Linked DNA regions of Arabidopsis thaliana. The protein of the gene in region 1 interacts with the protein of each later gene in a biochemical or structural test. Each region holds a gene or a part of one and is shown in the gene's direction. Other genes may lie near its edges.

The links.
Region 2: the proteins of YAB3 (region 1) and SPL form a complex in vitro, tested with the Arabidopsis thaliana proteins (one study listed by BioGRID).

Annotation. Positions count from the first base shown.
Region 1 is NC_003075.7:73,873-77,806, reverse strand, and holds the start of YAB3 (Plant-specific transcription factor YABBY family protein), read left to right. Parts: upstream 1-2,230; 5' UTR 2,231-2,717; coding exon 2,718-2,831; exon of another isoform or gene 2,832-2,918; coding exon of another isoform or gene 2,919-2,939; coding exon 2,940-3,110; intron 3,111-3,379; coding exon 3,380-3,539; intron 3,540-3,934. UniProt on the Arabidopsis thaliana protein: Involved in the abaxial cell fate determination during embryogenesis and organogenesis. Regulates the initiation of embryonic shoot apical meristem (SAM) development.
Region 2 is NC_003075.7:13,681,619-13,685,552, reverse strand, and holds SPL (sporocyteless (SPL)), read left to right. Parts: upstream 1-1,958; 5' UTR 1,959-2,093; coding exon 2,094-2,624; intron 2,625-2,723; coding exon 2,724-2,957; intron 2,958-3,046; coding exon 3,047-3,226; 3' UTR 3,227-3,475; downstream 3,476-3,934. UniProt on the Arabidopsis thaliana protein: Transcriptional regulator of sporocyte development. Acts as an adapter-like transcriptional repressor recruiting TPL/TPR corepressors to inhibit TCP transcription factors. Required for nucellus and embryo sac development.

The DNA of each region.
Region 1 (3,934 bases):
AATTTCCAAAACTTTATGAGTATATATAGGATATTTTTAGTGGCAAAGGACGACTTAAATTGTAACGAAAAGAATTTGAACTTTTTTCCATTAGTCCCTACGATGAATATTTCATCCTATAGAACATCATATGAATTGATTACTTAATGAAGTTAAATTTTTGAAAACTCTATTAGGGACAATGTCCCACATCGGAAGTTGAGTAGGATCTTAAGTGGTATATATAAGATATGAGCCTCTCCACCTATTGCCAATTAGTTTTACGTTGGAAGCCCACAGTCTGATATGGTATCAGACCCCGATCCGCACATACTCAACCCGATCCACATCGGTCCGGCCCAATACTTGGCCCGCCGATCCATGCCCAAACATATCGAGATCAATGGCTAGAAGAACCATCATCTCGAGGGGGCGTATTAGGGATAATATCCCACATCGGAAGTTGAATAAGATCTTAAGTGGTATATATAAGATATGGGCCTCTTCACCTATTGCCAATTGGTTTTAGGTTGGAAACCCACACTCTAATATGGTATCAGAGCCTGATCCGCACATACTCAACCCGATCCACATCGGTCCGGCCCAATACTTGGCCCGCCGATCCATGCCCAAACATATCGAGATCAATGGCTAGAAGAACCATCATCTCGAGGGGGCGTATTAGGGACAATGTCCCACATCGAAAGTTGAGTAGGATCTTAAGTGATATATATAAGATATGAGCCTTTCCATCTATTGCCAATTGGTTTTATGTTGGAAGCCCACACTCTAATAAACTCAATACAAATACTAAAGTTGCAAACAACTATACTATATTTGCTTGAAGTTCTATTGTGATAGGATTTTGACTTACAAAAATCATATTCTATGTCTACACTATATATTGTGAAACCGGATAGCCATAATATTTACAAAAACTTAAACTAATTTCAGATATAAATAAATTTAAATTTCACTATGACCTAGTAATTATCACGAACAATTGGGAAGTTACCACAAAATGGTGGTCCTGTATTATGGAATTTAGCGAAACCACACACTTGCGGGTAAAAATAATGATGACAAAATGATATACATTGGAATGTAGAGAAAGTATATACAAATACTAATAAATAGAAAAGGGCATGGAATTGACGAGGATCGAGGGAAAGTGTGGTGTGGCAGAAATGTTATTAAGTGTGAAAACAACTGATGAATGAGCCTTTGCTTAATCACTTCCATGCACAAGTCCCTTTCCTCTTCCTCTCTCTCCCACTTCATCGAACTTTGCGTCCTTTAAAGAAAAGAAAAAACAAAACATTTTTCATCCAATTGAATTCAAACCGTAACCAGATTAGATTTAACTTCGTTTATTTTACATTATCTTCTTCTTCTTATTTTGCGGAGAAGACTTGTACAATGACCTCAATACGCTGAAGAGTTGGATTCACTGCGAGTGTATATGTGCATATAGAAACAAAATATCTAGCTATATGACCACTTTTAACTCTAAATATGGGTGTAATATGCCAAGGACTTTCTGGAGATCCACCACAACACACATTCAAGTTCAAGTTCTGCTGCTTTTAGGTCTATGAAAACAACACCAACCTTATTTTCATATTGTTCTCTCTTTATCTCATGCATAAGTATATTTTCATATTGTTCCCTCTTTATTTTCATGCTTTTAGTTGATATTTTTTTTGTTATTGTATTATCATTAGTGCGACGACACAAAGTCACAAACCATGTAACAAAATGCTTAACCAAAATAGAAAACCTTAACAATTCCAATATATTTTCTGTTATTGCATTATCAATTATCATCAAATTTTTTTCCACTGTTGCATTATCATCATTGCGACGACACAAGGTCACAAACCATGTAACAAAATGCATAACCAAAATAGAAAACCTTAACAATTCCAACTTTAACATGTGAATTAATATTATCTTAATTTTTGGATGTTCGACATTCAAATAAACTCCTAATTAAACCCTATAGATATGGTTAATCTTCTATACATGTGTCACGTACGACACTTATTAGCCAAATTGAAGTTTTGTTTTTTCCGCAAATATATAAGCGGTTTAAATAGTTGGTAAAAAAAAAAAAAAGTTAGCATGTTTGTCGTATGTACATGTTTGATGCTGCACAAATCTTGTCGTTATAAAACTTTGAAATCTTTATATCTATTATTCCTCACCGATCGGCTACTAATTCAATGGTACTTGATAATGATAATTAGTCCCAAAGTAGAGTTTTTATCTGATTATATAGAAACAAAGACTAGTTCCGGTTTGATATATAGAAGAAAGAAAAAGGATGGATAGGAATAATAAAGAAGATAAACCGGTTCAAAAGGTAGTAAATGAGAATGCAGGTATGCAGCTTATCTCTACAATGGCCTCTTCATCACATGTCGCCAATTTGTTTAGGTACAGTGTCTCTTCATATTTACATAAATAGATATCTCTCTCTCTCTCTCTCTCTAAACCACATCTTCCTCTCCACCGTTCTTTCTCTTCCTTCTCTCTCTGGACTTCAACTTCTGGAGAAGTACAAGACATTTATAAAGTACTGCTCATCACCCAACACTAAACACAATTGTCAAAAGGGTGTGGTGGAAGGAGAATCTACTTCTATCTGAACATCGATCAGTCATATCTTTTCAATCAAATCAAAGCCCTCCTCTCTCTCTTACTCCTTTTTTGTTTTAAATCAAGAAAAAGACTCCATGTCGAGCATGTCCATGTCGTCCTCCTCAGCTCCAGCTTTTCCACCGGACCACTTCTCATCTACGGACCAGCTCTGTTACGTCCATTGCAGCTTCTGCGACACTGTCCTTGCTGTAAATTTTGGATTATTCTTATATCTCATCTCAATATTTCAAATTTATAACTCTAGCTAGGGTTTCACATGAATTACTAGTTAATTAATGTGTGATATTAATTGGCAGGTGAGTGTTCCTCCGAGTAGTTTGTTCAAGACGGTGACGGTCAGATGCGGCCACTGTTCGAACCTTTTGTCGGTGACCGTGAGCATGAGAGCTCTTCTTCTTCCATCCGTTTCCAACCTTGGCCATTCCTTTTTACCTCCCCCTCCTCCTCCTCCTCCTCCAAATCTTTTGGTACATCGGTTTCATTCATCGAAACAAATTAGGGTTCTTTCATAAAAAAAACAGAGAGTAATAATTAGGGCTTTTCTTCTCGAGAAACGCAAAATTGTGAAACTCAATCCAAAAATGTTTAATTTTGTTAGCATCCCGGGATAGATCTAAGTAGTTTGGCAATGGCTAGTTAACTAGGGTTTCTTTCGAAAACATCATATCAAAGTAGTTTGGTTTGATTAGTGTTTTAAGTTTTTTTTGCCAATTAGTTTGCTGATTTCATTTATTAGGAGGAAATGCGAAGCGGAGGGCAGAATATAAACATGAACATGATGATGAGCCATCACGCTTCAGCTCACCACCCGAACGAGCATTTGGTTATGGCGACTCGCAACGGAAGATCAGTGGATCATCTACAAGAGATGCCTCGGCCACCACCAGCCAATAGACGTAACCTTCCATCTTCTACTCTTTATTTCAACATCTTCATATATATATATATAAGAAAACAAAAACCCTAATTCACAAAACCTTATCCATTCATTTCTTCAACCTTTTATATATACACTCCAAAGAATCTCGTTTGTTTATAATGAATTTATAAGTTTTGATTTCATTTTTGTTCCCTCGGTATGTGACTTCTCGCATGCACTTTTTTTTTGGTCAGAAAACAATTTCGACAACAAAAGGAAAATTAATAAGTGATGTGTTTATCCCCCGGAAATCTAGCTAAACCTATAGATGCCAACTGATATAGTTTTGGGGGTAGATCGTAAGAAAGATAATGATGAAGTGATGATGATAACGAGCAAAGTGAGAGGGAGAGGGAGAGAGAGAAAGGAGGA
Region 2 (3,934 bases), about 14 Mb from region 1:
GTTTTATAAATATATGAACTTATGAAGATACATATTGAAGTTGTTTTGTTTGGGGGTAAAAAAGGTTATTTGAGTGTTATATGATAACTTTACTCAGAAAACGTACTTAGCAAAGGTAATTCGAAGTACCTTTGGAATCGAGTAAATACTGATAACTAGAAAAAATAAGATACATAATGGAGAAATAATTAAATATATTTGTATTTCTTTTTTGTTTAACAACGTACGTTTTATTATTAGCTAGTATACATTTACAACGGTTACGTAGATCATATAATAGCCATTTAAGATGTACAACATCTCATCTGGTTACTTCATTTATATAAAAAAAAAACGAAATCTCAACACATAGTAATGTATAATTACTTCAGTGGGGCTTCTCTTAAGACTTGTATTGAGAATATCCATATAAAACAAACTTTGTATTAAGATAATTAAAATTTTCTAATAGTAGGTATTGGGCTGAAGCCAAGATTAACATGGAGGCAGCTTTAAAATGTTTCCTTATATGATGCAGCCATCATTTCTACTCTACTCCGTAGCTCCAAACCCTTCTCGTAATTCACGTCTCTCATGCTATTCTTTTTGCTTTCGTCCTCCTCTCATGTGAAGCAATAACTATCTCTCGATTTTTTTTTTCAAATACCGAAAGCTAACTTTTTCAAATAAATGTCAAATATATTAATTTTCGTTTTGTATTTAGTATTTTATTTGTCAGCTAAGTATAGTGAGTTTTTAAGCTTACTCGTCGTATTTATCATATATTCATATACATATCACATTAGTCAAAGTAAATAAAAATTTGTTTTTGAAGAAAAAAAAAATACATATAACTGCGAGTCTGCGACTGTAACTGGACTTGCTTATTTTAGTTGATATGAGCTGAGTAAAATCACGTTGTCCCAGACCTTGCTCGCTACAATCGGCGAATGGTCTAACGTCCCGACACCTGTCCTCGATCCGCGGGTACTATATTCTTTGCAATGTGATGCACGCGCTGTTACTATTGGACAGTGTTTCTCACCTCACGACTGAGCCTATGCGAGTAGCGACAATCTCCGATTTGCTGTCTCCATGGTAGGGATTATCACAATCTCTGATTTTTTTTATCAGGAACAAGTAAATAAATAGCTTTGAGTTTTTGTTTTTTTTCTACATTCTTCGCCCAAAAGATGTAAGAAAATAAAGGATTTGAAACCTTGTTCTGTTGTTACTCCTTTAAATTCTTAAAAACTATAAATCATTATATCTTTGATCTGTTTCACAAACTAATCATATTCGTTGCAAAGTGAGAATTCGTCCCACTTTACTCTTTACACCGATACTAGTATTATAGATGTACAGCATAGTATTCCATATCTAGTTATTTAGTCAAAACTCTATATATTAAGAGGTAGGTTAATTAATTAAGGAGTAATTGAAGATTATAGAAAGAATAAAAAATACCATTTAATGGACAGAACCAAAGATAACTAACTATCATACTATAATGTTGAATTTCTTCCACGATCCAATGCATGGATAACAACATCAATCAAATCATACATTCATGCTATATAACATAGTTTTCAGTTACAAACTCTCTTTTTTATTTATTTCAGTTGTTCCTTTTCATGACCATATTAACATCAAATAATGCATTTTTTTCAACGTCTCTTGACTTACACCCACTAATATTGACAAATTGAACATCTATACGACTATACACACATAAGTTAAAAATGCATGCAAGTGCTAAGGGAATTTATAACATCTAAGGTTAATAAGACTAAGAAAGTATAAAATAAGAATACGTATTATGAATTTATGATATACTTTACTAATCTTTTTGAAAAATACTTTAATTTAATCTACTATAGGGGGTAAAAAGTAAAAAAGAAATAAAGATACGTTTATCCGCATATAGTACCTGGAAATAACAGAAAATAAAAACACAGGTAAGTACTTTGCCTGAGCTAGTATATGAACACTAAAGAGATACACACACACAAAAAGAGAGCAGAAACAAAACACACACACTTAAAGCTTTCGTCTTTACCTCTTCCCTTCTCTCTCTCTATCTAAAAAGAGTTCCGAGAAGAAGATCATCATCAATGGCGACTTCTCTCTTCTTCATGTCAACAGATCAAAACTCCGTCGGAAACCCAAACGATCTTCTGAGAAACACCCGTCTTGTCGTCAACAGCTCCGGCGAGATCCGGACAGAGACACTGAAGAGTCGTGGTCGGAAACCAGGATCGAAGACAGGTCAGCAAAAACAGAAGAAACCAACGTTGAGAGGAATGGGTGTAGCAAAGCTCGAGCGTCAGAGAATCGAAGAAGAAAAGAAGCAACTCGCCGCCGCCACAGTCGGAGACACGTCATCAGTAGCATCGATCTCTAACAACGCTACCCGTTTACCCGTACCGGTAGACCCGGGTGTTGTGCTACAAGGCTTCCCAAGCTCACTCGGGAGCAACAGGATCTATTGTGGTGGAGTCGGGTCGGGTCAGGTTATGATCGACCCGGTTATTTCTCCATGGGGTTTTGTTGAGACCTCCTCCACTACTCATGAGCTCTCTTCAATCTCAAATCCTCAAATGTTTAACGCTTCTTCCAATAATCGCTGTGACACTTGCTTCAAGGTTTGTTTGTTTTTTAATCGTTTTCATCAACATGATTGATATATATATAGTTTTTGCACTTGAAAAAGTTTTGATTTTTATTTATGTAAAAAACTGCAGAAGAAACGTTTGGATGGTGATCAGAATAATGTAGTTCGATCCAACGGTGGTGGATTTTCGAAATACACAATGATTCCTCCTCCGATGAACGGCTACGATCAGTATCTTCTTCAATCAGATCATCATCAGAGGAGCCAAGGTTTCCTTTATGATCATAGAATCGCTAGAGCAGCTTCAGTTTCTGCTTCTAGTACTACTATTAATCCTTATTTCAACGAGGCAACAAATCATACGGTACTAAGTATAGTCCATTTATTAATACTCATATATAGGTATATATGTATATAACTGTTGATCTTATTTGATTTAACTGGTGGGTTTAGGGACCAATGGAGGAATTTGGGAGCTACATGGAAGGAAACCCTAGAAATGGATCAGGAGGTGTGAAGGAGTACGAGTTTTTTCCGGGGAAATATGGTGAAAGAGTTTCAGTGGTGGCTAAAACGTCGTCACTCGTAGGTGATTGCAGTCCTAATACCATTGATTTGTCCTTGAAGCTTTAAATGTTTTATCTTTCTATATTGATTTAAACAAAATCGTCTCTTTAAAGAAAAAACATTTTAAGTAGATGAAAGTAAGAAACAGAAGAAAAAAAAGAGAGAGCCTTTTTTGGTGTATGCATCTGAGAGCTGAGTCGAAAGAAAGATTCAGCTTTTGGATTACCCTTTTGGTTGTTTATTATGAGATTCTAACCTAAACACTCAGACATATATGTTCTGTTCTCTTCCTTAATTGTTGTCATGAAACTTCTCTCTCCCTCTCTCTCTCTAAAGTTGTGTCAGATCTTGGGGCTTGTATCCATTTTGTGTTTCTTTAGTTAGGCAATGATCCTGTCATGATTCATGTTATCACCTAATTAATCCTCGGTTTTCGAAACGGTGTCATGCATATCTGATTAATCTTGTTATCTGGTGTGAGATAAATGTATCAAATTGCTCTTGTTTATAGCTTTTCCAATTAATGTCATTGCATAGCATATGGGATGTACAGCTTCGTTTTCGATTTATAAAATTTATACATGTGTTTGGTACGTACTGTTTTGTTTTGGATCAGAATTATAAATTTAGTACAGTATAAACTACTTTAAAAATTGGCCAATGAGAATTTTGAGTTTATCTTCTTTTTATAAGTTGATTGATTTTGCTTTGTTTATTTATAGAAAATATGAAATTTTATCAATTATTTTTGGGATGCTTTTTTATTGATTTTAG